Coturnix japonica: one gene and its partner. Each later gene encodes a partner of the first gene's protein in a complex. Links are inferred from orthologs where the notes say so. Each region holds a gene or a part of one and is shown in the gene's direction. Other genes may lie near its edges.

Region 1 (15,236 bases):
TTTTTATTTGATTGAGCACAATTTGCTGCTTTCAGGCTAGTTTGCTTATGTATATACATACATAACTATATGCTCAATATAAAAATGTCTTATTTTGGCATCTAAGAAATAATACAGAATTTACACTTATTCTTTTTAGGAAGAACTTCTTTAAAGAAAGGGTAGTTAGGTACTGGAATAGGCTCCCCAGGGAGGTGGTTGAATCGCCATCCCTGGTTGTGTTTAAGAGCCGTTTGGATGTGGTACTCAGGGATATGATTTAGTGTAGGGTTTTTAGAGTTAGGGTACTGGTTAGGCTGTGGTTGGACCTGATGATCTTCAAGGTCTTTTCCAACCTGGGTAATTCTATTATTCTGTATCTCTGTTTATGAGCTTATCATTTCCTTTCAAAAATAAAATAAAAGTCAGTTAAACATGTACGCTCAATATTAGCGTTATTCAAGATGCTGTTGCAAAATGGTCAATTTTCAGTATATGTTTGAGCTACAGACTTAGTTTAACAGTGATCAAATAAATTGGAATCAGACAGGTCCTGTTCTCTTGAACATCTGTAGCGGAAAATAGGATACATAAGTAGTGTGTGGAAACAGACCACTGTCAGTACAAACTTCTATTCATTTAAGTTCATTCTGCTTCATAGTCTTGTTTTTATAGCTCCCTTGTTACTCAGATAAGCTCCCCGGTCTCTGTAACTGCATTCCCTGTATAAAGAGCTCAGGTAGAAGTGAAATTGTTAGAAACAGCAGTAGATGGATGTTATTCTTACGTAAGCGTACCAGTCAAAGAGTTGCAAGACGGGGGGAGTGAATTCCATGCTTGGATGAACATGTTATATTTACAACGTATTTCTCTGTGTCTGAAGAGGAAACTGTCAACCTGGAATCTGATGCATTTAAAAGAAATGCTAAAAATGTTTAGCGTGTGCGTGCCAAACCTTTGTTACTTGGAGGAAAGCAGCGTGTGGGGTAGAGTATTTGTAATAGTAACCCCTCTTTTGTGGCTTCGTGAAGGGTCGGCATAAACAAGGAAAAGTTATTTTAGTGAACTGGAATGATTCACATTCAGTTTACTGATGTTATTAAGCTAACAGGTAAAAGCAGAAATCACTTAGGTTAACTTGAAATATAACTGCTTTTTTTCTCCCTCATAATCACAAAATTCCCCAAACTGTTTCAGGTCCAATGGTTAAATGTTTTGTTATTTTTTTTCCCGTGCTTTTTAAATATGAGCACAAGGAAAACCAGCAAGCTTTCATTTGTGTTTACAACTCCCTCTTTCCCTCTGCCAGTAGATAGGGCACTCACCTGAGAAGTGGGAATGCAGGGGGATCTTCCCTCAGTAGCATTGGAAGCAGGATACTGAGTGGCTCTTATGCTGCTCAAGCTCTTCTCTTAGCTTTTCCTTGTATAGTTTTCCTTCTAGTCCTACTACTTTTCCAGCACATTTTGGCAGCAATACTCCAGCAAAGTTTTCATCCTAACAAAGCCTAGCACTGCTAATGTTGAATATTTGAGTCAATCACTGTGAAGAACAGTACAGTCCAAAGAGTAGTAGTTTATTTAAATGCTCTTGGCTAATGCACTTCTTGGTATACCATATGACTAATAGAACTCAGGCTTTCTGTTTCTCATGGTTTTAAGAATTATGATACTATGAATTTGAAGAGATCCAAAATTCCTGGTGTTCCAGTATTAACTTAGAAGGCTGGTAACTATAGTATCAGAAAGGTTCAAAGTAGAGGGGTATCAAAAGTTGGCATGTTACTTGAAATCTATGCTCTTCTAGTGAATGACAAAGCCAAACTTACACTTCACTAAATATTTGGTTTTTGTTTCTTGTTTCCTCTGAATGTTGACATGTGCTATCAAATAACACATTTAAATTGCAGGAGAGCTATCCACATTAGATATTTCCACCTATTAGTTACCACAGACTTGCTAATGACTAGTAAAGATACTACTTTTTTCTATAATGTATGCCCTAAGAAGAGTTCTCAGTCATGTTCAACTGACTCAGATGAAGTAATCTAGCAAAATAACACCCCATTGATCCCTCAAGACTGAGCCTGAAGCTCTGATTCAACAAATCACAGTTGCTTATGCATACTCTCCGCTGGAGACCAGCAAAGCACATGTTTAATTACTTGGTTAAATTAGGGGTTTGGCTGTGGCATCTTACGTTCGTTATTGAGAAGGAAAAAAAACACACAGAAAAACAAAACAGACAAAACAGAGGAAATATTTTGATGCTAACATAAAGAGGTATGAATATAAACACAAACAAGGTTTACATTTCTTGATTAAGAAGAAAGCATCCTGCTTTCAGATTAGAACACAACTTGAAAGACTGCTGCAGTCTTCTTGAAACAGCTTCCTGCATTCTGGCCAAGGACAGACAAGCTCTCCTTTTTTTTCCCCTTTCTTAAAAGTTGACTCTGCCATAGCCTTTGATGGGCGATTTCTGAAATGGCTCATTTCTCCATGCTGAGAATGCTTAAGGTTAAACACGCTGAAGAAACCTGTTCAGAGGAGAAAGGAGACTTTTTGCTCTCTGAAAATCAAGTATTTATTTGTTGTTCTCCGTCAAGTTGGGCCCGGTGTATTTGTATCCTGAGAACCTTGGTCTCTTTGCCCTCTTGCACCGGCAATATTGGCTCATCTACATTTATCTGAGTTAAAATACAAGCTCTTCAGGGCAAGTGCCTGGCCTTTTATGTGTTTTGAAAGAGCTGTATGTAATTAAAGTACTTTGTATGAAGAAATTACTTCAAAACAGTTTACATAGGGCAGCTATTTCAAGATCAAGCAAAAATATCCAGCCTTGTTCCCTGAGGAAACAAGGCTTATGTGACTGCACTGGCTGGCTGCCCCTACTCCTTTCCATTCAACACCTTTTGAACTTGTTGGACAGTTTAAACTGCATTTGAAAGGGGGAGACGTCTCAAAGATAATTAAGTTCCCATGGACTTTATGAAAATCAACCACTGGGAAGTGAGAAATCCAGATCCACAGTTCAAATAACTAATTTTTTCTTCCAAGCGTAATCTTGCAAACCCAAAGCTTGACTGCAAGTGTAATAATGGCCGTCAGGTTGATAATATAATCCCAGGTTATTTAGAGGACTGACAATTATTTTTCAGCTGAATAGTAATATGCAGATTGAAACCATAATCAGGTTAAATTTCCCCTGTTTTGGTCTTGTAGCAGTTTTTAACATGACTAATACAGTGCATCCTCCTCAGGCTTGCAATTACTATGGATTTGCAGAGACATGATGACTCACTGCTTTAATTGGTTGTGCAAATTTCTCATTTTTACTCTTTTTAGATAACAATGTTCAGTCCTTATACCTTCCTTCTAGTTAATTAGTACTGGCAATGCATTTGTGGAATAATAATAATAATAACAGATAGTAATTGGGATACGCTACTCAAGATTATTTTATGCGATAGGGAAATTCACGGCTGGTTTTGTTATCACAAAAGCACCTAAACTATCTGAGCTGATGGTGAGTCCTGATCGTGATCACTAATTTGCCTGTTTGAGAGCTGCTGGTGAGGTCACTACACGCACAGAGACAGGACTTCAGTGGTGGCTCAGTTGCTTACTGGTTGTATAAGCAAAATGCTGAAGAAAGGCAGGCAAGGATGGGGGGATTTTTGTTTGGTTGGGGTGTGATGTGCCAACAGTACAAATGAATTTCCTCTGAAGTTTTGGGGTGCTTGGGCAAACTTATTGGGCTGCATAATGTTAGACCAGCAACAGACAGGCTCAGTGGGGCCGTCCAGGACAGTGTTTTATAACTCCTCATATTTGGAGGAGTTTTAGAACAGAAGCCAGCAGCTGTTCTGCTGATTATGCAAAAATAAATCACCTACTGCGCAAAAAAACGCCCCATCTCTTACATTACCCCGGAGGGTGACTCGTCGTGGGCCGGGCCGCAGGGGTTGACCTGGTGTCTCTCCGCCTCCGCGCCGGTCCCGAGCAGAGCTTTACGCGGTGGTCCTTCCTGACGAAGCTGTTCCACTTCATTTAAGTCATTAAGCTTTAATTAGAAGAGGACTAGTTTAGCATTCATTAAACATTAAATACTAATTGAGCGCCCGGGGAGAGCGCCGGCACCATTAAGCAGCGGAGTCATTCTCACGCCGGCCCGGCCGGGGACGGGGCAGGCAGGAGGGGGAGCCGCCCGGGCGTGGGGCGAACCACCACCCCGCGCCCCGCAGCGCTGCCCCAGGCGGTCCCGGGCTGAGCCCACGACAGCGGGTGTCGGGACGGCAGCGCCGCCTCGCCTCCCTTCTCCGCAGGTGGGACTGCGCGCAGCCCGGCCCGCCTCCCCTGGCACTCGTCCTTCAGCATCGGCAGCGTGTCGGTTTTGCCCGCGGCTGCGTTTTGCCCTCAATAACGTCGCGGCCGCCACCGCACCGCCCGAGCTCCTGCGGGACGAGCACCCGCTCGTCCTCCGCCGTCTCTAACAGCTCCCGTCCGGCCGCTCCGTCCCCTCCTCGCCGTCCGGCGGAGGCGGCCCGGCCAGGTAGAGCCGCTCGGCCAGGTAGAGCCGCTGCCCGCGGCACAGGCGGTGGCTCGGGGCGGGCCGGGGCGCGCTGCGGGGGCGGGCCGAGGCGGAGCGCCCAGACGGCCGGCGCCGAGGTAGCGGCGTGCCGGGCAGCTCCGAGCCGAGCCGGGCCGGGCGGTGAGTGCGGGGGGCCTCGCTCGGCGGGGCGGGGAGGCGCCGCGCTGCGCTGCGGGGCGGCCGGGGCACAGGGTTGGGTGAGGTCCGACTTCTTTCCGCCGTTCGCCCCGTCCCGGGCAGTGGAAGAGCGGTGCCGGACTCGGGGGCTCGGGTGCCCGTGGGCGTCCCCGGGGGCGGGGAGCGGCGGCCGCGCTGCCTCGGCCGTGCCGGGAGCGGGAGCGATGTCCGCATCCAACCCGCATCCAACCCGCAGCCGTCCCGTGCCCGGGTGTGAGCAGGGCGCGGCGCTGGGAGGGAAGCGGCGTCTGCGGGCAAAAGGAAGCGCTGAAAACCGTGGAGAGCATCGGGAAGGGCGAAGGGACGGAGTAGGAAATGTTGGTGCTGTTTAGAAATCCACAGCTCCAAACACGTATTCATCGTGCCGGCATGCAAAAAGTGTTAATATGTTAATATGCAAATAGGCTTCTGTGTTCGGTAATGCTATTGCGTGTTTCCTGTTTACCATGTTAATTAGAAGTTGTAAGGGAAAACTTCACGGGGAGTGATGCAGGGCAGCGTTTGACCCGGTAATGCTCGTTGAATGTTGCAGTGGCTCCTGTTGTTTGGAGCAGATAGTTACAGGGCTTAGTTAGGAAAAATGTAAAAAATGAAGTGTAACTTACGCTCCTTTCTACCAGAAGCAGCCTCTGAACTGTCAACCAATATGGACAGTTCAACTCCACGCTGTGTTTTTGGCAAACACCGTGTTGTGATTCTGAGTAAGCAGCCCGTTTCCCCCAGCCCTACTGACTCCAGAATGCTTTATTACTTCAGGTGGTGTTAACTAATTGTGTAATACTTTGAGATCTAGGACATACAAAGCTGGTGTTGTAGGGCAAGTTAAGTGTGCTTGTAAACAAACACAGGCAAACACATAAGGAGAGTCTTGGGATTCTAATTGTGTTTTGAGTTTTGTTTGTTTGTTTTATTAGAACTAGTATCATTTGGTATGTGTTTTTCACTTTGGTTTTGTTTTCTCATTCATCGTGTCCTTTCAAATCCAAGATGGAATTAATATAGACGTGCTTATTAAAGAAACACTTTTGACCTTAACCAAATGTTTTGTTTGTTTTCATAGTCCTCCTCACAATTTCCAGATTGTTCCAGAGAAGAGCATAAAAAGAAACCGGTTTTGGAAAGACTTGGAAATTTGTTTGGTACGGGGAGAAGGAAGAATGTCAAGAGTTCATTAGAACACACATCTCATTGGAAAGGAGAGAGATCGGTTTCGCCTCACACAGCTCAGCCCATTTACTGTAAACATACACAGCAAGGTCCTGAATCTCCTCCAGTACAGAAGCAAGTGAGAAATACGAGTGTCGTTCCTGAGACACAGGAGTACAGTTTCAGTGGGGAAGTAGGACCTCTGTACCACGACACCATTTCAGAATGGAGTGGTCGAGGAGTCTCCTCTGACAGCGAGTGGTCACCAGACTGGAGCAGCAGCAGTGAAACAATTAAAAACTCTTTCTTTGAGAGTAGCTTGAATGTGGACACCCGGGAACCAGAGAAGGGGTCTGTCACAGATATAAATAATTCCACCACTCCAGATTTTATAAAAAGCTTGAGGAGTTTGTCTAGCGAAGACTTAGAAAAGAGTATCTTAAGCCACAAGCATCTGGTGAACACGTGGGTGTCTGAGGAGCCCGGGCATGCAAAGCCAAAGGATTTGCCATACAAGCTGGAAACTCTAGCAAGTGAACACCCACAGCCTGCTAGAGTGCTAACAGTTGATATTTATCTTAGAAAAACAGACGAACTCCTTAATGAACCCGTGACTGTTATATCGGAAGAAAATTGTGGTGACTCAGACACAATGGATAAGAAATCTTCTAGTAAAAGGTCTGGGAAAAGGAGGAAGTCTCAGTCATCCAGTGACGTTCCAAATGGAGAGAGAAACCAGACTGAGAATACCGCAAGAGAAGATTCTGTTTTTGAGGACGATGCGTCTTCTGAGGGGGTTCCAGACAAGGTAATAACCTCTGAAAGAAAACTGAAGTCTCCTCAGCAGACTCCTGAACGGAATTCCTTTTCTTCAGGAAATAATCCGGAACTAAAACCTGGATCTGCTCACAAAGGCACGTCCAAGACTGAAGCTGACAAAGGTAAACAGCAAGCCTCAACCACAACCCCTGCAAGGAGAAGATCTTATAAAAAGAATCAGTTGGATGCTGTTCCTACTTCCCCCACTGGTTTGAAGAGTCAGATGAAAGATTACTCCTCCAAAAGGCAACCTTTAGCGTCAACAGAGAGTAACACAATGACAAAAAGAACTTTGCAGGAAAAAGGGGAAGATAGCTTGGAGTCTTCCAAAGTCTCATTGGCCGATAAAGCAGAAGACAACACCGTGGTGTTTGCTGAAGGCAGAAATGAAACCAAGACAGACAAGCATGGTAATGATTCTGATGGAAGAGCTTTCTTGCGTACTGATAAGATTAAAAATGGAGACCTATGTATGCCAGCTGAGAGACAGACGAGTTCTGATTTAGACAGCTTGAAGCTGAAGAGTTTGGATGCTTCCAGAATAGTCACAACAAAAATTAGCCTGTAAGTAAGATAACTACAGTTTACCTTACTCTCGTAGCTGTAATTTTGCCAGCATCTGTATTTAGGATTATATAGGAGTGCTGGCTATATATCTGCTATCTAGATTATTTTCAATTAAGAGCTGTTTCTTTTAATCATATTTACACCTCACTAACACTGTGATATGCATGTGTTAAGAGAATAATTTGTGTCTAGGCTGTTTCTTTCTATGCCTGTCATGTTGTATAGAATAATTTAACGTGTAAAAGCTGCTCTGCTGTCATCATTGCCCCTTTTGTTGCTCAGATTAGCTTGGCTCTCATTGACCTTCAAGTGGTTTTGCAGTTTGTAGCTACTGAAAGATCCATTTGAAGATTTTGTACTCTAAAATCCCTGCCCAAGGAAGGTGTTCAGGTTATTCTTTGAAGAAGGAGCAGTTCTGCTCAGCAGTTATTTTACAAAGAAATGAAGGATGCGGTTGTAGAACTTGGTACTTCAAATGATGCGATAAATCTGACTCCAGAAATCTGAATGCATTTAGCTGCCTTTATAAGTACTTGCAGGACAAAGGATGTAAATTCTTACACATGGGATGTAGATCAGGCGTTTGCAGAATTATACATGTGTTAGTTTGCATGATTACTTCTTAAGCAGTTGTTCTCTGTCAGGCAGATGTGATCTATGCTTTCCTTAGGAAGATGTGGGTATATTTGGTACTTGCAGTGTAATCATTAGTAGGATTTCAGCTACTGATTTCCTGGACTCCCCCATGGTTTTGTTCCGTGAATCATTTTATTGTACTCGTCATTTCTATTGTTTGGTTTTCATGGGTATGTAATAGGCAGCATTGCTTTCCTCTTTGTGGTGCATTCACTTGTAGGCCGTGTCAGAGTCCACCTGAGGTACACTGAGTTCAGAATTGCCATTCACTTATGCTAGAGGTTCATGAAAGCATTGAAGCTTAACAACTATATATACTTCCAGTTACGCTTCCCACATCTGCAAAGTTTAGAGATAACAGGAACATTTTCTTTGCAGTTTGTGAAATGCTACCTCTGATTTGTACCTTTTTAACTGGATTGAAAACGCCTCATTCTGATAGTTAAGTTGTGGTGTTTTGCTACATGATGCTGCTTTGTCATCTGGTGACAGAGCTCACAAATGTTCAGCACTGAAGTTTTGTATCTTTACAACTTTGAATGCAAGTAGTCTGCATATTTTTCTCCATGTGTCACTACCATTAGCAATGATGAAGTTACAAGCACTTGCATGGCTGGATTTTTGTTTGTCCTGGTATCTGCTTGGCTCCTTGCATAGAGAATTATCTTCTGCTTTGCTCTTACAGTTATAGACAAGTACCCCTTCTGACAGCCTTCATTTTAATAGATAAAAGCCTGTTTTTTCTCGCCTGGCAGTGTGGACTGTGTGCTGCTTTGCGTTTTGACCTTATCTGCTGCTCCAAGAACTTTAGCCCAGGGTGGGGACTGCTGCGTTCAGCAGGTTCATGATGCTTCTGAAAGATACTGTTGCACAGAATCACACCATTTCTTCAGCCTGATAAATGGATACAGTGGGATTATCTGCTGTAATTTGTGGTCATCCTTGAGGGCATGTGAGCTGTAAACCTGGATGTGAGTTAAGTTGTAAAACAGGAAAGGAAAAATATAATGGTGGTATTAGAAGAAGGCGTGTTTCTGTTCTCTTCTTACTGCTTGGGACTAGGGATCGGATGCTTTCTCCATTTTTTTAAAGGGAAAAATTACCATTAAATACTCTACCTGAAACTCCTTCAGTTTGAAAAGTACTGGTTCACTCATGTGAATAAAGATGGACAAGGAGAGATTCATTTCCCTCCTATAAAATCAATTTAGCATAATCAAACCGATTTTCAATTAAAGAATGCATGACGTCTGTTACTAATGATGTGGTGGTACCAATTCTGAGGATTGAGGTTCTTTAGAAATACTCCTTAAGAAGCTGTTTTTGCCAGTTCTCAGCAAGTAGCGATAGCAATTCCTGTCTGCTCCTTGCATGTCTGTGTACAGTGGAACTTGAGAGTCATGGGATACTTTTGCCTTTAGCTTTTCAAAGAGGAACTTACTAGGCCTGAGTCTAAACTTAGGTTGATGGTACCTCACTCAAAACTCATTCAGCACATAAAACCTCAGGCAGCTGTTAGGATTTTGCTAAGCACGTCAGCCTTAGCTTTAGTTGTCATTTTTGACTTTCAGACTTGGTTTTGTAGCTGCCTTTGTGTGCCTATGCCCACTTGTTGAATTCTTCTGCTCTGTTAACATGCCATTTTACTTTGCTTGCCTCAGTCTGATGTTTTGGCATCAGTTACGTGTTTGATGAGGACATTTGAACAGTATGCTTCAAGTATATGAGTCACCTTCAATTTATGACTATATTAGAGGAGATTTAACTGCTTGCTCACACAGGTTAGCTGCAAGGTATAGCCTAAGAGAAGGACATTGGTATTTCACTTGTGCTTGCCTGTTCCTGGCCAGCAATGGGTGGAAATGATCAACTGTATCAGGCTGTTTATAAGGAAGTGTCTGTACCATTATACGAATCCATCTTCCAGTGGTTTTTTTTTTCCCCCATGCTGCAGGGGGAAAGGGTCCTCGGACAGCTTCTCAGTTTCTTAGACAAGCTTAGAAATTCAGTACTTGCAAAGAGACACGTCCTTCAGCTATATTTAAAATCAGTCTTTCTCAGTGTGGAACATCAGCATTCCTCAGTGGCAAAATGAAAGGCTTGGCTGCACGTGACGGGTTGTGGTGGACGGAGCTCCAAGGCTGAGCTTTTCGTCACTCTTTAGCATCTGTTGTTTGTCTGCTGCTCTGCAAAAATGCTGCAGAGTAAAATACAGGTTGCTAAAGCTGTTGTTTGTGTGTAAATTTGCAAAGCTTGAAACTATACCTTTGAGGTGTTAGTTGCTCATTGTCATAAGTTTTAGGTGTGGCTGATAACTATCAGTGTTAACCATTGCGCTTGCTTGTGTCAAGACTTACAAGGAAAGAAGGATCTTATTAGGGAGATATGTATTGTTTGTTGTGTTGAAACACATGTAGTAGTGCAAGTGACAGACTGACGGGAGGATGGTATGGAAATGAGCCTGTTAAGATTACCAGGTGCTAGTGATACCACTTGAAAATACAAGTAGAAGGAAAGTGTATCTTCTTCCTCTAATGCTTCCTTCTAGCAGGTGGCAGGTAAGCCCATGCTGGGCAATACTGGCTTGAAACAGCCAGTGTGTCAAAGGAGAAGGAAGGGGTTTTTTGCTCTTGAAGAAGCTGGGCCTTTGTGGTGACTGGTACCTCCTTCTCTCCTTTCAGCTTGCTTTCCCCAACACAAGTGATATTTCACAAGATGGAATGAGTCTTTCAGTGTACTTTTAAGACAAGAATGTCACTGGGATATGCCAAGTACATGTAGAAGCTGAAGCACTTTGCTTTGTTCAGCAGAGAGAAGGATATGAGTAGATCTCACCATTATCTCCATAGATGCATTAGAGAAGGCAGAGCAGTTTCTCCTCTGATCTTTCAATGAAAGGACAGCAGCCTGATTGCAAGTTGCAACAATTAAGTTCAAATGGAACATGAAATAAAAATAATTCATAGGGCAAGTGGCTGACTTTCTTCAGTGCTTCCCTAGCTAGTAAGAGTGCAGATTTTCCATCCTTGGAGATGCTCAGCCCTTGGCCAGACAGAACCTTCAGTGACTTTGATCTAACATTGAAGCTGCATCTGCTGAGTGCTGAGATGGACTAGGTGACCATCAGAGATCCCTTTCAACTTGTTTACATTTCCAGGAAAGAAAGAATGTGAAGTAACTTAACTTTCCAAAGTTACTGCAAATGAAAACTAGGGTGTAGGTATCTTGAAATGTATTATCTAATAGTTCCTCACCTTGTTTGCCTCAAGAATATTTTTCTTTTCCTGCTTCCAGACTTCAGTTTTCCAATTACTTTTTATTTAGCTTCTGTTTGAGGTACAGTCCGTCAGGTGTTTGTAAGTTCACTATTTGCTATTTTTAGTTGTCTTGTGTTCTTCATAAGAACCTTCCAGCTGAGAGCAATTTGAGCAAGCAGTGAGCACTGTCAGGAAGTCTTCTCCTAAAATACTCAGTTATTTCAGCAGTTACTTTCTGTTTAGTTTCTTAGGCGGCTGATCTGGGGTTCCTTGTGTTACCACAGTAAGTTTGTTCCTTGTGCTTTTCTCAAGAAGAAAAGCTTGTACAATGAAGATGTTCTGGCAGCATTTACTTTCTTACATGGACTGAGTTTCTTGAGGAAGAGGGGGAAGGAATGGATTCAGTTTTTACATTTGTGTTAATTCGGTTGTACCTCACCCTTCTTCACTTGACTGAAGAGCTGTGTCACAGCTCAGTGAGTAGCTGTGTAGGTGAAGAGCAAAACCAATGAGTACAAGAATTATTGATAGAGCATGTGAAGCCCCTGCAAGCGAGTTTCTTTAATCTCCCGCCCTTTTAAGATTTTGTTTCTGTGCAGTCTGTCACTGCTGGATTCCTCTGGATTCCTCTGTGGAGAGCGGGTCTGACTCTGACGTACTGGTGGGCTCCTTACTTCTGGCTGATACATTTTGAAGACATGCCTTGTTTCTTCTCAGTTGTTCATATACCTGCAGTAGCAGGTGACGTGGACAAATGCTTCTCTCTGGATGTAGATACTCAGATGAAGGAGATTTTAAACTATCAGCTGTGTGTCACCAGCTTTCTTCAAGTGATGTGTGCTGTAGCCTCATAGTACGTGCTTTTCTATCCACTCTCTTAAAGAAAATTTTAAAAGTATTTCCCAGTTCAGTCCTTGTAAAAACAGCAGTTAGTGTATGCTATTTAAAATGTTAGCTGACTTTACCTGAGGGAAATGGGAGAGTCCTCCCATGCAGTGTTGGCTTAATCTAACAGTGATGAGCAGTTGCAGTGGGTCAGGGACTGTGATATTTTCTACCAGCAATATCCAGAAGAGGTTTCTCACTTGATTTGTGATTGCTTCTGCAGTACAGAGACTGAAAAGAATCTGGGCAGATGTCTTCAAAACTTGTTGGAGAGGTATATTCTAATGTTAACCAACTCATTATCACCTTAATGAATTGGGATTTGTTTCCTAAACTCTGCAGGGAATTGCATGCGTATAATTTATTCTGCCTGTTCTCTATTAAATTTTAATTTCTGTCAGTCATAAGTTTGCCTCATTTGCAGATGCTGTAGGCTGCTGTGTTTCTGCATCTTTGTTTTGCTGAGCATTAAAGAATTGCTTACATTTGAAATGTATTTTCCTTATTCAGTGTTTGATTATTTTGTCATCTTTAATTCCTTTTGAGATACTGAAATTTAAACTGATCACGACTATGGGAAAATGATTTTAATGCTGCATTTTATTGCTTTACAAACTGTTACAAGTCTCTTCAAGATTACTGAAAGATGTAACTGTGTATCACTTTGCCTCCTATAGTCCAGCCAAACCGAAGAATGTAGAGCTGAATTTTAAAGCGCCTGCAAATCAAGACAGCTTAGAAAGTGAGCAGGATACTCTTGAAAAACCAGTTAATAAAACTAACAACAGCATTGCCAACAAAATTTCCTTGTTTGAAAATAAATGTGCCAATCAGAGCCAGAGGCCTACTGATATCTCTGCTTCAAAAAATAGTACTGTACCAAGCACGTTTGTTGGTAGAGCAAAGCTGATATTTGGAAAACAACCTAAGGAAAGTGAGCAGCCTGATAAAACATTAAATAAACAAAACAGTCGCCAGAAGTTATTTGAGAATGGCACAGCAGAGAAAGATAGCACTGCAGAATTAAAAGGCAAAAATGAAGAAGGCTCTGCATCTTCCGAGGACGTCGGGAAAGGAACAGAGCTTAAAGTAAAAGCTGCAATATCCCTTTTTAACCAAAGCAGCAAAATTGATGCCAGTGGTGCCTCTCTGAAGCAACCTGATCCAGAATTAAGTGCAGTTAAAAAGGAAAGTTCTCCTTTTAAACCGTCTTTGCACTCGCCTGTTAAAAGTGAAAGTGTTCATGATATTTCCTACCATCAAAATAACACAAGCTCAGAACTCCATAGAAATGAAGAGAAGGTACCGCCAGACACAGAGGTCTTATCAGCCTGTAATGGTGATAAATATCCTCTACAGTCTCATCAGCTTTGTAGACCAGAATCTCAGAAGGTGGAAAATGGTGATAAAAATGCAAAGCTGGGAGATTTGACCTCTGCATCACAGCAGTATGATGATGGCAGTCTTGATGGTATATTGGTGTCGGAGCACAGCAGTAATACTCCAGAGAGCCCAGGCAAAACTTGTAATGGCTCTGCTGAAGACGATGCTGTTTTTGATTCTCCAACCGACATGAAGAAGTTTGCTGAAACAATAAAAAACTTGGACAGCTCAGTTTGTTTACCACAGAAGAAGAAAAGGTCAAAGCTTCCCAAGTCTCCAGCACCCCACTTTGCAATGCCTCCGATTCACGAAGACAACTTAGAGAAAGTATTTGATCCTAGTGTATTTACCTTCGGTTTGGGACTGAGAAGGGAAAAAGCACAGGATCTGTTACCAACCCAACAAATGAAAATACAAAGTCTGGAAACTATAGCCAGAGTCAGGCCCAAACGTGCATCAACAGAGCAAAGTATAATATTCAAAGCCCTTCAGTCATGTAATAGAGAGGAACCTTCCTTTACTCAGGAAATAAATGGAAAAGAGAACGCGGATGGTACAGATGGTGAAGTTAAGAGATCCCGTCTGGAAAAAAGCTCACTCTTCTCGAGTTTGCTGTCATCTACTTCTAAAGAAAAGTTTCTTAATCCTTCTGTGACCTCAGTAAATAACACAGCTTTTATGGCAGACTCCTCAGGGATACCTTCTTTACAACAGGATGCTTCTGGGCCATTCAGCCTGCCTCAAAAACCTGAGGTAATAAAAGATGAACAACATTTTACGTGGCTACATTTCATGAGTTGACTGTTGAATGACTGTTAATTTTTTGTTTTTGTTATCCAGTCTCTTTCAGATATGAAGTTTCCAAGTTATATGGAGAAGTACATACAAGCAGATAGTGCAAAAAAAGAGCTAACTTTACAAATGCCTAACTATGGGAACCCAGAAAAAAATTTTTCCAGCTGGTTAGGGGCAAACAGATATGAATCAAATGTCCCCACTGGTTTATTAGATGTAGATGTAAGTATTATGCCATTGAAAATCTACCTTGAAAGTTACCGCACATAGCTTTTGTTTTGTTTCTTTTCACAGTGGGTTACACATAGATTACAACTGCACAGAATGAGCATGGGTGAAGTAGCAGGTTCATCTGATGTTTGCTACACATGAAAATATGATGTGTGTATGGCATCTCTTAAAATGATTATGTTTCTCTGTGATGCCTTTATTCCAAGACTCTTCACGAGTAGGGATTGAAAGGATACATTTGAATATGTCTTCATGCTTCTTCTTCTTTTTTTTTATTTAAACAAATCTCATGCATCATCTACTTTTAAAGTATTCCTAACAAATGAACAGTAGCGTTTATTGAAAGAGCTGCTACAGAGGATGGATGCCCCTCCATTTGATTATGAGCATCTGTTCACCAAGACTGAAGGTAGACCTGTGTTTTCCTTCAGAGCCAATTTCACCCCAATGTAAAAACTGATTTCTGTTCTCAGAATTTTAAACCAACAGTATTTGCTGTTTCTGTAGATGTTGGTCCTTATTGTTCCAGGAAGAGAAATAGCTTCCAAAGTTTGATAGCCATATTAATGTGATCTGTGGAATTGAAGCAGCATGTAAGAAACTTGAGCAGCTCTTTGCTAAAGCAGCAGATTATCTGCTGTTACAGTTCTACTAAAATGGCTGGGGAAGTAGAAATAAGTGTACACCTTGTGGAAGGAAATCATCCATTCTACCTTACAGTTTTGAAGATGTTGATTTTCTTTCATGAGAAGTTTTTAATTAACGTAG
Region 2 (15,236 bases), on another chromosome or scaffold:
TTAAAAAACCTTACTTTGAAATCCTCAAAGAAGATCAGCTGCCATCTGTACATCAGCAAAATGGTAATATAAATTGTGTTTTTTTAAATCTTGTTTTGCCATTATTGGATTCTCTTCTTTGTATGGTAGAAGTTTGGGTACTGTTGTAGTTTAACCTGGCAGCAGCTCAGCACTATGCAGCCGTATGTTCATTCCCTGCTCCCTGTGGTAAGAAGGAGAGGATTGGGGGGGAGGAGGGAGAAGAACTCAGGGGCTGAGATTAATAGGACAGAAAGGAAGGATAAAATAATGGTGATGATAATGAAGATAGTAGTAATGATATGTATGTGCATGTGCACAAATATAAGAGAGTGTGTATGTGTACAGTGCAATTGATCTCCACTGGCTGACTAATGTCCAGCCAGTACCCAAGCAGCTACTGCCCCCTAGCCGGTTTCCCCCAGTTTTTATAGTTCCACATGATACTGTATGATGAGGAGTATCTCTTTGGCCAGCTTAGGTCAATTGTTCTGGTTCTGTCCCTTCCCAGCTCTGTGCACCTCTAGAAACCTCACCTTTTTTTCCCATAGATGTATTTTGGATTAGATGTTTATAAAAACTGGGGAAGTTAAAAGTGACTGGTTTTTAAAAGAAACTGAAAATTTGAGAATATTTTTTGTAAGGTGAGAATTCAGATCACTTGTGGAAGCTTGACACCAGCACCATTGGTTAAAATTGAATTTTTATTTTTTTTTAAATTGATATTACATAGGAAATAAATTTGTGTTTTATAAACAGATCATTTCAGTAGTTAAAGCAGTTTTCACTGCTACTTTTCACATATTCTGAAAATGAGGTGACATACTCAGTTACAAGCATGGGGAATTTAAGTGTTATTTCTGGTTATGTGGGTAGGGTTTTTTTTTGTTTAATTTGATACTCAGCATGGAATGAGAGATTTTACTGGGAGTAAAAGTGTAATATTTGTGGCTCTGCTTAGCTATTTGGGTGGCTTTGTTAAAATACAGAGAATGCAGGCTGTCAGATTACAGAGTTTGTTATTCAGAGCCGTTCACGTCAGGCTTCGCTTCTTCTGAGCAGTCCAAGTGAAGAGAAGAATGTGTGCCATGTTCTCTCTGTAATGCCTACTCACTTGAAACTTTTCTGTAGCATTGCAGAAAATGGGCCACCAGAAAAACAGCGACTGTGAAGCTGTAAAAGTGCAGCACACTTGCCTTCTCTTTTTTTGTGATTTTTCTTCTGTTTAACAGAAGAAGCTGGAGTTCCAAGTTGTCTGAGGAAACGGGAGTTCCAAGTCTCATCATCCCTAGTTTTTCTTGGAAGACAGTTGGCTATTGCAAGTTTCTGCCTTTTTTAAAGGCAGGTTGGAGGTTGCTAGTTGATTGATATCCATGCTTTTAGAATATCTTTATAAATATCAGTTTTCTTTCTCTGAAAGAGCAATTAATATGCTAGCCATAGTCAAAATCAGACCTGCATCCCTGATGTGAAGGAATACTCTGAGGAAAACAGAGCATGAAGATGATGTTTCCTTCATGGGAATATGATGTAATTCTTGCAGATTTAGCTTGTGCAGTTTGATACTGCCTCCCACTGTCTGCTCTGCCATCTGTCAGATGTGAGAAGGCAGAACAGTGCTTACATATACCAGTTAGTAGATAATGTTACAGCATTATTCTAAACTGTGAATGGAGCTGATAAATGATTAGCAGTCATAATGGGAACAGGGAAGCATGCCTGCCTGCTGCTTTTCCCGGAGTCCCACCACAGATAGGTGGAGTAGATTCCTCTGGAAAACAACATATTTAAACACATCTAGCTTGATTTGCCAGAACTTCTGGATCGTCTTCAAATGATGGTTAAATAAACTTTGATATTATTTAAAAAGAAAAGAAAAGTTAAAGAAGACCACCTTATAACACACTGAGAAGAGGATAAAGATGTGCATTTGGCTCCCTTATCATCTGAAAATTTGACGATTACAGACGGATAATATGCTGTGAAGAGTGGAATTTAAGTGTAATACTTGGGTAGACTTGTAACTAGAATATAAATAAACACAAAGTGTTGCAACCATCAAATATCAGTAACAGTATATAAGTAATCTTTTCTGATATTTGTGGTACACATTTAGAATGGAGTGTATGTATGCCGTGTGCTCATGTTCTATGCAGCCAGCTGCAGCTGATGTGGTAAATCATCTTGTGGATATGTCATAGTCCTCCTTTCAGCATAGCTTACATTCTCATTGTGAACAAGTGTCTACCCAAGTTTATTTTAAAATATCTTAGTATTTCTATAATGAACAAAGTGATTTAATTTGTGAGTTTTAAAGCAGAGCGCTGTGCAGTGCTTTAAGTAGGAATAGCCTTAAAGAGTTTCTGAATGCAGCCTGATACACTCAGTAGTTGTGAAAAGGTAGAAACAACTTTTTATTTTGGCAATTCCTGCAGTGTGTTCAGGCTGCTCAGAATACTGAGGCATCTGTATCAAAGGATCAGCCTGAAGCACTAGAGGTGGTTTAGGACCATAGTTTGAGTTGATCTGTATATTCAGAAGTTAGTTGAGACTGGTGCTGGTTTGATACCAAGTAAGCAAGCAATAAAATAGAATAAGAAAGACTTTCTTGGATACACGTACTAATAGACCGATAAATAGATTGTGTTTTTCTGTTTACTCATCAATTTAGGTGTCTTACAACTGCCCTTCTTAGTCTGCATTACAAGTGGATCTGAGGAATGAGTCTCTTCCAGTACTGACAGCCGTAGCTGTCTTTATATTTACAGATGAAGACTCTTTCTGATTTTCTTACTGGCATGCACAGAAACCTGTTCCCTCCAACTTGCTCAGTAAAAGTTAGGATAAGTAACTGTCAGTCTTCTGATCCCTGCTGTGATTCACACGTTACAAGTGTGCATCTAGACGAGCACTTGGAAGCACAAAAATGGTGTATATCTGTGTGCACACACACCTTGAGAAATCCTTGTAGTCTGCTCCGCTTTCTTGAGGATACTGAGCTGCCCGGTTAGATGGGTGTGGGTTAAGGGAAGTGCCACTAGGAGAGGAAGGTCAGAATTTGGTTTTGAGGTATTTCCACATCCCATATGCCTGCGGTGTGAAATGAAACTGGTAATAATTTACATAACAATGTCATGGAATCTTTGCTTTGTGTCTCTGGCTCTGACTTCTGCTTTTGAAGGCTGCAAATTCTTTTCAGGTGTATATATAAATATACTTGTCTAAACCTTTTATAAATATTTGCTTGAGTGTTTAAAATGAGTGTGTTTATATGTGTTTGTGCGCAATGAGACAAAGATGCCTTGCCAATAAGTTTGTACTTTAAAGAGTACTACGTGGAAAAGTGTTCTCTGAGTTTAAAGTCTTCAAAGAAAATTAAATGTACTTCATTTTTCTCTAAGTTACTGAGTTATATAGTTTGCATATGCCTGAAGATATTAACTAAGTAGGCTGTGTTAAGACTTCTCAGTCAAAATCATCTTTGAATTCTTTTTTTAATCATTCACTTCAAAGTTCTTAAAAGACCGTGTGATTTCAGTTTGCAGTTAATATGTTTCGAACGTTACCACCATCTTCCAATCCAACTGGAGCAGAATTTGATCCAGAGGAAGATGAACCAACTTTAGAAGCTGCATGGCCTCACCTGCAGGTACTCAATGAAGTGTGGGATGTCATAATCTAACAGAATTTTCACATTAGATCCATTCTTTATTGATTCAAAATCATACAGGTTCTGTCTGTCTCCTTATATCAACTAATCTCTCTACAATATTTTAAATAAATCTTGAATTTACACTGATAATCTTTTCACTGGATGTCAGTGTTTTAGAGGCTGAAGGTTTGCTGTTTCTTGTTGTATGGATGTAACTGCTGTGATTTTAGATGAGCTTCAGTTTGACACTAAATACTTTGATCTGACTCAGTTCTTGCTTTGAGAGGTACTGTGACAAACATAGAACACAGTTTTTAGAACACTTCTGGGTAAGCTGAATATTAGATTATGTCACGTGTGCAGTGGAGCTCAGTAGAATTTCAATGTAATTTAAAGAACATCAGCTTCTTATACTAAGTAAAAACATGCTGCATTGGGAGCAAAGCTTTTATTGTATGTTATGTGAATAAATGAGTTCTATACAAATACAAACGACAATTCTGGGCAACTAATTGGGAATTTTGGTAATATGCTGGTCATAAAATGTTTTGTTTTGTTTATAAGACTAATGATATTTTTTCATTGGACTTTTTTTTCAGCTTGTTTATGAATTTTTCTTAAGGTTTTTAGAATCTCCAGATTTCCAACCTAATATAGCTAAGAAATATATTGATCAGAAGTTTGTATTACAGGTAAGGTCAAAATAACTTTTAAATTCAAGTTCTATATACGTTCTCTTGCAGTGCATTAGATTCAGTAAAGTAAATCTTTTCTTTTCCCTCCTTGCAGCTTTTAGAGCTCTTTGACAGTGAAGATCCCCGGGAAAGAGATTTTCTTAAAACAACTCTTCACAGAATATATGGGAAATTCTTAGGCCTGAGAGCTTACATCCGAAAACAAATTAATAATATATTTTATAGGTATGTCACTGTCTTTTTCTTGTGGGGCCTTTGGTCAGATAAACAGCTAAAGACTGCTAACAGTATCTTGAATCATATTTAATTCTTAGTAACTTCGTACCTAATACTACTGCATCTAATGGAACTTGATGCTAACCTGAGAGATTTGAATTGAAGTAGCCTTGCACGCAGCATAAATTTGGCAGCCAATATTTGAATTATGTATTTGATGTGTGGTTTAATATTTTTATCTGAGACTTTTTTCTTATTGTGTAGTAGTAGTCATAGCTGTAATAGCACTTGAATAAAATGTAGTTCTTTGTAATGTAGAAATAGCAACCCAAATGGAATGACAGAGAATTTGACTAAAGGAGCATATTTACTGCCTTTTCTTTCCTCAGACCTAAGATGTTTCATTCTTGGTTGGTGAAAGCAGTTAATTAAAAGCAGCTTGTTAGTGTGTTGGTCTATGAGAAGTTTGCAAATGGAAAATAATTTTCTACTAAGTGAAATTAATAATACTTTCTAGTAAGTGGGGAAAAAAAACATTATTTTCAAAATACCTGAAGTTGTGCGTAGAACTTTCTTGACAAGTTTATGCTTAAGCAATTGAGAAGCCCATAAGAAAGATAATTGTATAGTAAATTACAGTGTTCTTTCAGAAGAAAATTTATGAAGATGTGATTACTTCTGCTTATTATTGAGCCTTTTGTGTGCACAGGAGCCTAATACCAAACAGCTTTTTAGTTCCATAAGTAGTAACTGTTCGAACACTTTGTGCTTGCATGTGCTGTAGAAGGTTGAGTCATGGCATTTGATTGTGCCAGATGTTCTGTTATTTTAATATTAAAAGCATTGTTTGCTGTGTTTTGCATTATTGAAATGACACAGAGTATGTATGATTGTTTAAAAAAAGCTGAAATGCGTGCACTGTTGTTAAATGTGAGTGAAAAAAGCAAGCGTGAAGGTTGAAGGCAACTTAATGTGCTTACAGAGCGTGCATATCTTGTAGAGAACAGAGCCATCAAGAACACAAAGTGCCACTAGGTTTAGAATAGTTACCAAGACTGCTTAACTGTTTTCATGGACTCCACAAGGTTTATTCTCTGCTGAGTGACTAAAACCTGAGAGGTCAAGGCTACCTGCCATGTTAGATGATCATCTGTGGTAGGTGTATTTCTCTGTTCACCAGAAACTGAGTGAAACTTTTCATTTTTTTAGGTTTATTTATGAAACAGAACATCACAATGGCATAGCAGAATTACTGGAAATACTGGGAAGGTAAGTTGTAGATTTTGTCCAATTAAACTGTCTTGATCTTTAAAGGAGACATTAGATATTCAGCTGGGGATTGCCAGTGATTACAGGACAAGATGAAAATAGCTTCCTAGCATCTGGAGAGATTTAACTTCAAGTTTTGTATAAGAGTGCAGAAACTGAGCAAAAACTTCAACTGCACATCAACATTTTTGGGATGTGATAATTTTTTTTTATCATTTAATTTTCATTTTCTACATTAGTATCCTTGTATTAAAGATAAGCTGCAGTGCAGCAGTAATTACATGTAACAGTTGTAATTTGTTTAAAAATTCATCTGACTTCACTAAATATATAGCAGGTAAGCACAGAAAGGGTGGGAGAACCTTCTTTTAATCTCCTTTAAGTGAACTTCAGTGATGTGTCTGACAGCCATGGAATCTAAGTTGTACAACACGAAGCTGCTAGACTACTCAAAGCTGGTTGTTTTATCAGTTGACTTCTCATCCAGAGATGCAAGCTTTTTAATATAAGTATGTGGAAATACGTTTTAAAAGCATTGCCAGTTTTATTTTACAGGGGTTTTTATATAAATGTTATAAGTTTTATGGCACTTAATAGAAATTTGCCTGTTAAAATTGTAGTATATTTTTTCTTAGATTTTTCTAATCAAATTTCTGGTAGCCAAATTAAACTTCTGTGCTGTAGCTGTTCTGTATTGATTTTTGTGATCCATCAAGGAGTTTCATACAAGAAGTTGACAAAGAGCTCCTTATGAGTAACAGGAAAGGCAGCTCTAACAACTCCTAATTTCTCAACAATATGTGTCTGTTATAATCCTGTAACATCAGCATCAGATTTCTGCAGTGATTGCCAAGGGGGGTTGTCTAAAAGTGTTTTAGCAATCCATGTATGTTTTCATTTATCTGCTTAACTTAGGACCTCTGAAAGACTTGGGCTTGTTTTTTTTTTCTCCCGACAGCATAATTAATGGATTTGCCTTACCATTAAAAGAGGAGCACAAAATATTCTTATTGAAGGTTTTGTTACCACTTCACAAGGTGAAATCACTCAGTGTTTACCATCCACAGGTAAGATTTGCTTGGCAGTTCTTTTAGTAACAAGAAGTACAGAGGTCTGCTATGATGGCCGCCTCCAAAATTAGAAGTACTTCTTCACCAATTTCAGTGTGTTCCATCTCACAAGAAGTGTTAATCAAATCTTTTCTTTGATTTTAGCTGGCGTACTGTGTAGTTCAGTTTTTAGAGAAAGACAGCACGCTTACAGAACCAGTAAGTTCATTTTGCATTTATTATTTATTTGGGGGATACTAACATCCTTTTTTATCAGTGGACTGTTTAAGGAGGCTTGGAGAATGAAGTATTGATATGTAATTATTTTTATTAGGAAGAGTCAAATGTTTAACCATTTTGACATATCAAATGGATGTATTTTTCTGCAACGTTGAAAATGATTTAATAAACCTTTCAAGGTATATCTTTTAGGAGCAAAATTGAGTTTACTCTGCTTATTTTGTTCTGGCTGACTCTCCTGAAGACAGCTGATCCACAAAAGCAGTTCAGTCAGATATTTACGTGCCTGAACTGTGCTCTGTTGTGAGGCTGATATTGCGCTGGCACACCGATTTTTGGCACGCATAGCTACATACTGATGCAAGACTTTTGAGTCAGATCCTGTTCTCCTTTTGAATCAGATACTAACTTTGGAACATAAACAAAACCAGACTTTTGTCTGGCTGCACATAGCTGCATACCTAGATGAATACTTTTGATTGTCCAAAATTGAATATAGTGTTTTGCATCACTAATCCAACACATTTAATTGCTAAGCAGTGATTAGTGAATGATTGCTTCTAACAAAAGTGCACCTTACTGAGTTAAACTTGTTTCCATTGTAAGCATGATTCATCAAGCAGTGTGTGACTGAGCAAGAACTTTCTTCTGCTTGAAGCTTTTAATGTTTTAGTTATGAAATTCTGGTCACTCTGTTATTCACGTTGTGTGCGGTCTTGAGTTGTTAGCTTTCTTTCAGGCATCAGTTATGGTGCTACATGTTTGCTAGGACAAATTTGAACAATCATCTGAGTTTACTTCCTTTTTTTTAATCCCAAATCAGTACATAATGCTTACATCGTTCTTTTAATCTCTTAATGTGTGATGCATGTGCTGGGTTCCTCTTCAGAAATTCTGGTTGAGAAACACGGTTTTTTTATATGCAAATTGTTAAGAGATTTATTTTTTAAAAATCTTATTAAATAAAATCTGCATATATTTCCCAAGGCTTTGTTAAGGACAGAGTGTCTACATTGGCATTTATATGATACGTATAAGGAACATACATTGATTTCTCACTGAGTTATCACTTCATTGAAGTAGAATGTTTCTTGTAGTTTATAAGAGTCCAGATTTATTATTTAAGAATTCCATCTATTTCAGAAAATAAGCATGTTCCTTTTTTCTAAACGAGAAAGTTTGGTGTTTGCAACAATCCAGTAGCCATCCTCTCAGTGTTTAAACTGCATCAAAACCATATAAAAGCTTCTTCTTAAAAGAATGTAGTTTTGTTTTTAAGTTGAGCCATCTAATAGACTGTTTCCTTTTCTATATCATATTTTATGGATCTCTTAATTGTTTTTCTTTGTTCCTCTTCCCCAACTTGTTTGAGGGTTCATGATTTGCTAGGCAAAAAACTACTTAAATGAGCTGGGTAAGTAATTTAATCATGGAGCAAGTTAAGGCCTAATTACAGTAATACAGTCAAATAAAATTTAACAGCAGTATACCTGGAATAGTCAGTCACCTGCCAGTTTGAGTATTTATGGTAAGTCTTTGCTTAAAATATGATTGAACTTCATTACTTGAGACTTGAAGAACACCTTCAAGAAATAAGAGGTTGAGCTATTGTCACTTAAGTGGCAGATATTTTTCCCCATCACGTAGCTGCAAATCTGCCCTTTGAGTTGGTTATCATATTGAGACGTATGTCAGGTTCTTTCTTCAGTTTTCTAATTATTTTTAAACAGATATTTAATGTAAAACTTTCTTCTGAGAAAATGTTCTGTAGCCATAGTAGCAGTTATTTATGTGTCACTGAACCATATCTCATCATTGCTGTTATGTGGGACAAACATTTGAGGGCTTTTTTTCTGTTCAGCCTTGTTCAGACTTGTTAATGAGAGATAAGTTAGTACAAGACTTTTTGATTATGAGAATCTTGTTCTTTTTGCTTCTACAGGTTGTAATGGCACTGCTGAAATACTGGCCAAAGACTCACAGTCCAAAAGAAGTCATGTTTTTAAATGAGCTGGAAGAGATCCTGGATGTGATTGAGCCATCTGAATTTGTGAAAGTTATGGAGCCTCTTTTCAGACAGTTGGCCAAGTGTGTGTCCAGTCCACACTTTCAGGTCTGTACATACAAAATGCACAATGCAATGAGGATTTTTGAAAAGCAATTTGCTATTATTCACCATGCTTAACTTCAGTTGTTAAAGAAAGCCTTTGCATCTATGGCAAAACTGGGGGGTCCGAATGTTAGCCTTACTGTCTCTTTTCAAGAGTGCAGTACTAGAGTTTATCTTAGATGATTCACTTAAAAATATTACCCTTTAGCGCTTGTATTTCACTTCTTGAAATTGAGTTCTACTGATAGACTTACAGGGGAGAGCATTTCTTGGACTGCTTGAATGGTTTGAATCATTTCCTTGTTGAGGAAAAAGCAGTTTTCCTCTCTCCATTAGTTCCATGAGTAGCTTCTAGTTCATGCTTTAAAAATCCAAATCTTGTTTGCAGTTTTTCTTACGTGTCACTTGTTTTTGCCAAATACTTGCTTTTTAAGAGATTGTTTGATGAAGTGTTCCTTTTTCCTGTGTCATCTTAGGTTGCAGAGCGCGCATTGTACTACTGGAATAATGAGTATATTATGAGTTTAATTAGTGATAATGCAGCAAAGATTTTACCCATCATGTTTCCATCCTTATACCGGAATTCAAAGACACATTGGAACAAGTAAGAAACATTTGTACAAACAAAATTTTGCTTTTTTTTTTTCTAGTTTAGCCTGAAAATAGCTCAGAATCCTCTCTTTGAATAGTATTAAATGTGTTTAGCTCTTTATTCAATGTCATCAGGGTTGCAGAGTAAAGAGAAGATTACTGTTATCACAATGTTAATTATGAACATTATAACCAATATAAGCAAAAATTGTAAGCAAGAAATGAAGAGAATGGAGTCTTTCTTCCATTAAACAAATAACTATATTTTAGTATGTGTAATCCATGGCATTTTTATTAACGTGAGAATAATTTGTCATTAATCTCTAATCTGGGTACTTCTGAAGAGAAACTTGATTTTTCAATCTCTAGCCTCTTTGCTCATTTGCATTTAATCTGAATTCTAGTGGAATATGTTTTAGATTGGGTCATTTTGTTTCCTTTCCTTTTCTTGGTTTTTTTTTTTTCCCCCCCTTTGTTTACTGTTTTCTTTCTCCATAGACTGTTTTCACTTTTTTCCCCCTGCAATAACATAGTACTTACACATGAGGACAGTCCTGGTCAGCTTCTTTCTGCAGCTGTTCCATTGTAAAGGGCCTCTTTGTTTCTGCTATGGCACAACTGCTGGGATGATGAAAGTATCCACAGTCTAGTGCTGGCCATGAACTGCGGTCTGGCAATGAGTTAGCTGAGAGCACATACTGAATCTACCTCTAAATACAGGAAAAGAAAGGCAGATAAAGTGATGTTAGTGATTGATAAGTATCGCTCGATGTAAGCAGTAACAAATAATGTATTAAGAAGTGAAATTTTGGTTCAGTGATACAACTGCATAGAGTAATCCATATGATTTTTCTGGCTTTCAAGGCCATGTGTTCATTTTGTTCTGAGCAGAAGTGGTGCTACCCAATACAACTGCGCTTTCACTGGCAACTCACTTGTGTTACAAAGTAGTCACTTAACTGATTGCGTGCTGTTTGCTTTTAATGATCAACACTAGATTACTCACTAGAAATTGTAAAATGCTCTGTAAAAATAAGTGCTTCATAAGGAAAATTTTTGTCGTTGTTTTCCACATCACTTTTCTAACACTTGTCTAAAGAGGCCTGGCATAATTGTATTAAACTAAGTGCTGTTGCTGTGTGGCAGTTCCCAATCTGAATACCATCTTCTCTAGGCTCCTTATAATCACTCTGTTGCCAGTAGGTTTCTTATTTCAAAAACTGTAACACTGTCTTGCATTTTCTTTAACAACTTGAGTCTGGTTAAGGTCAGCAAGTGCACTTCAAACCTAGGCCTCTTGGTATCCACAGTACTAAAAAATGAAGTTCATGAAAAGTATACATGACAAGTAGTACTATAGAGTAAGTAAAATGTTAACTTTAATATTGTGTTAGAACTTTGGAGGATAAACTGAACCTTCCATTAACTAGCATTGTTTCCATTTGTTCTGAAATGGTGTAATTTTCCAGTTATGTAGGCTATTGGCTTCTGTTGACCAGAAAAAATAGATTTCAAAGTTTAAAGTACTCTGAGTTTCAACCAGAAGTTTTACTTATAGGACAATACATGGCTTGATATACAATGCTCTGAAACTCTTCATGGAGATGAACCAAAAACTGTTCGATGACTGCACACAGCAATTTAAAGCAGAAAAACTGAAGTAAGTTTTCGTGTCAGTGTGTCTGTCTGTTCTTGAATAATTTGTTCAGAGTGCTTTAGCTCTGAAAAGCTGCCGTGTCTCTACTGGGAAGTTGTACCCACTTAATTACGGTACAACAGTCTCAAAATAAACTTGGTAAAACTTTTCATTACATGTGAACTGTAAAATCTTCAGAATGGGGTGCTTCCTATAGTCTTTGGCCTAATACTGCTGCATATCACCTTCTTCCTTAAAGCTAGTTTTTGGAAAAGGGCACTGCTAATCATGGAGCCTGCTGTAAATGATCTGCTGAAGAGTTCAGTTGACATCCTGTGTTTATTTTTTGCATGCTGTATTTACACAATGTTATTTTCTCATGTTATCACTCGATCCTTCCCAAAACATTTTTCCAGTATTTTTGACATTGCGTTGTACATGAACATGTACAGGTTTTTCTAGAAATTATCCAACCTAAAGTTGTTACTCTGTTACAATGCGCTATTTGCCAGAAGAATTGTGATGACTGTAATGTCATCCTGCACAGGGCAGGCAATTAGAAGCTAGAATTTTTCTGGTAAATGCCCAAAAATGAAGCTATATTTTGTACTCGTAAATTTACATCTCATAAACCTGCTGTTCCTCTGGATCTCAAAATGATTTAACAGATTGGAAATAGAAATCAAATGTGTGAATCATTTGGGGCTTACTTTACAAACTGGGAGCATGATTAAGAAGCAGGTATTAAAAATATCTGGATTTGAATTTGATTTTTAATTCCTATGTGATTAAGAATTCCCCCAGATAATGTTTCTAATTCTGAACCCATATTAAAACGATATTCTGAAAGGAATATAGATTTCTAACATAAATAATCTTAAATTTTGGGGCTGCTTATTATAATTCAAGTAGAAGTGATGAACTTGTAGTATTACTTTTTTTTTTTTTTAATATGGACAAAAATGTGAATATTTTTTAAAAGAACAAAGGCTGTGTAAATCTGTTTTCCCTTATAGCAAATGAGTAGTAGTCCTTTTATTAAATCAGAAATCAATCATTTCTCCTTTTCTTCTGTTTGTTTTGAGTTTGTTATTATTGGGTGGGGTTGTTTTGTGGCATTTCTTTTGAGAGTGAACTAAGGCAGGCAGAATGCTATGGGTGACATCAGAACAAAACAGAATTCTTTACCACAATAGAGTAAATTTAGATGGAGTGTGAATTCTACTCCTCTCTCAAGCTTAACTTAGTGAAGAGCTGCAGGCAAGTTGTGTGTAGGCTTGAATTATAATTTCTGGGTTTTAAGCCAGGATTAGCTACCCCGTAAAGCCCGAAAGTATTTCTTTTAAGCACTGTTGATCTTAAAAACCCTTTTTCAGCTCTGCCGCCTTTCAAAGAGTTTGTTCTAGTCTGTGCATGAAGCAATTTATTAGAGTAGGGTAAACCAGTTACTTAAATTTGAAAAACATCAAGTATACAGAAAGAAACCTTACTTCTGAAGTGTTGTTTCTTGTGACTGCATTGAATGATTTATTGTGCTTTTTGATTCTTTCTGGGTTTTGTTTTATAAATGTGTCTATTTGTGTACAGTTTAAAATATCTCTGGGTTTTTTTCTCTTGTTTAAACTATAACCCAAGCCACCGAGATGACAGTAGGACTCCATATAACATAGTTCAATTATTTTTTCCCTTTGAGTTATAATCCTTCTAGCATTGTACAGTTAGCAGAGACTAGCTCATGTTAGCTGGTTGCTAACATGGGAGGGTTGGGTTTGGTTTTTTCTTTTTAATGTTGCTTTGGGATCATGAGGTATTGATACAATGCAAATTGTAGCACCAACATGAAGTGGATTTTTTGGGTGGTAAGCTGAAATGGGTATTGCCAGACAATTTATTCTTCTAGTGATTTTTCTTTTAATGTTAAGGAGAATACACAGGTTGTGATACAGGATTCACCAAGCTGCTTTTGCCATTTTTTGCTTTGAAATTTTTTTTTCAGAGAGAAGCTAAAATTGAAGGAACGGGAAGAAGCATGGGTTAAAATAGAAAATCTAGCCAAATCAAATCCCCAGGTATTTAGAAAAGATTAACATAAGATGCTCATGTTCTAATGCTTCAGTTTTGTTAAATATCAGTGGGGGAAACAGGTCTGACTGATCGTGGAAATAAAACAATTTCATTAATTGTATTATGAAAGATATGCAATAAAAGTACTTTAAAATTTGTAACCTTTCTCTTGTGCAAGTAGTTATTTAATAAGAAAAAAAAAAAAAGGTTTCTGAGAAATACTATGTGAAGTACTTTTTCCTTTTCTTATAATAGGAGATTTACTGTATTGCGGTTTGAAAAGTTAATGTGCAAAATTATGGAAAACATAGATGCCATAATTGGTGTCTCTTTGAAAGCTGTTTTGCAAATAATATATTACAAAAGAGATCTTTCTGCAAACTGTGAGTTATGACTGCTCAGATTTCGTCTGTGTCCAATGGATTAAACTAAAAGTGTACATTCTTGTCTACTGCATTTGTTCTCATATTTGCTGTGGATTAGTCTCCTGGTGAATGTGCACATCAGAGTCTTACTAAAAAGGAAGCGTCCTGTCAAGCATTTGTGAGCTGACATAATTAAAATATTGATAAAGAAAATTTCCTTTAGAGTGCTTATCTGGAAATCATGGGAGAAGGCGATGGTTCAGCCTGAATTTCCCCTCACCCACTCTCTCATTTCTTGGGGAATGCAGCTAATCTTTTTATTTATTCATTCATTTTCTGAAAGGTCATTTTCCCTTATCTCAATCATGCTGATTTGCTGCTGTAGGCAGGACTCTGCCTTTGCAGCAGCTTAGCTTCAGTGGTAGAAGAGTGAACAATGATAAAAGGAAGCAGGACACTTTACGATCTCATTGGTGTTCTAAAACCAAGTATGGGATCATATTTTTCCTAAGGAGGAGGAATTTCATAGATGTTTTTTCCTTTACAGCAATTCTCAGGGTACAGTTACTAAACTGCTCAAATCAAAAATGTTAAAAATCAAACATTATGCCTAACAGTGGAAGAGTCAAGTGAGTCTTAGAAGAGCCATGTGCATGAAAGTAGTGATTGTCTTTCACTGATACACCATTCTCTAATGTCATACAAAAGACTTGGTTGAAGAGTGCTTGATGTAGATGGTCATTTGCTGTCATACATGGTGAACTTTGCCTGTCTAACTAAATAAATGAATAGGCTTGCAGTAGTAAAATCTACAGTTCTGAAGTATAAAATTGCTAGTTTTCACAATTTTTGTAATTCAGTGTACTTTCTGAAACTGGGTAGCACAACCCATATACCATATGTTCTGCATAGCATACTTGAAGAGAGCTAATAATGACAAGTAACTTTAAATATGGTTAATTTGAACGCTGAGAGCTTCACTGAATGAAGAATTGACACAAGTTCTGGATGCTTCTAGCACCATATAAAACTGATTTTAGCAATTCCCTCTTCCACCCTAAAATTTGTTAACACTTCCTTAATTTGTCTAATTACTAACAGTACTTGTTCAGAGCTATTCCCTGACTTTGCATAACAATGCACTTGAAAATTTTAGATCTTGATCATTACAGCCCTTGCTGATTAGATTATTTTTTTTTTTTAATCATCTTATATGTATTACATTACTGGTACAGTTAAATACTAAAATTTTTATAAGGAAAAATAGATGAGAAAGTATGCTTATAAACAAGTTTTTTTATTTAAAGACAGCTTAAACCTCGTTGGAATTA

Evidence for each region.
Region 2: the proteins of CRYBG1 (region 1) and PPP2R5C are in contact, whole or in part, in a crystal structure (PDB 6VRO), measured with the Homo sapiens proteins. The link is inferred for Coturnix japonica from reciprocal best matches to the Homo sapiens genes CRYBG1 and PPP2R5C. Residues at the interface, in NP_001358171.1 of Homo sapiens: Pro1136, Phe1138, Ala1139, Met1140, Pro1141, Pro1142, Ile1143, His1144, Glu1145, Asp1146, His1147, Glu1149; in NP_002710.2 of Homo sapiens: Lys183, Thr184, His187, Tyr190, Gly191, Leu194, Arg197, Ala198, Arg201, Glu226, Ile227, Ser230, Ile231, Asn233, Gly234, Phe235, Ala236, Lys240, Glu242, His243, Pro265, Gln266, Tyr269.

The regions. Positions count from the first base shown.
Region 1 is NC_029518.1:61,972,027-61,987,262, reverse strand, and holds part of CRYBG1 (beta/gamma crystallin domain-containing protein 1), read left to right. Parts: intron 1-5,809; coding exon 5,810-7,278; intron 7,279-12,282; coding exon 12,283-12,333; intron 12,334-12,736; coding exon 12,737-14,195; intron 14,196-14,282; coding exon 14,283-14,459; intron 14,460-15,236. UniProt on the Homo sapiens protein: May function as suppressor of malignant melanoma. It may exert its effects through interactions with the cytoskeleton.
Region 2 is NC_029520.1:44,956,432-44,971,667, forward strand, and holds part of PPP2R5C (serine/threonine-protein phosphatase 2A 56 kDa regulatory subunit gamma isoform), read left to right. Parts: intron 1-3,556; coding exon 3,557-3,667; intron 3,668-4,269; coding exon 4,270-4,362; intron 4,363-4,459; coding exon 4,460-4,590; intron 4,591-5,790; coding exon 5,791-5,850; intron 5,851-6,808; coding exon 6,809-6,917; intron 6,918-7,064; coding exon 7,065-7,118; intron 7,119-9,081; coding exon 9,082-9,252; intron 9,253-9,725; coding exon 9,726-9,853; intron 9,854-11,398; coding exon 11,399-11,500; intron 11,501-13,472; coding exon 13,473-13,545; intron 13,546-15,236.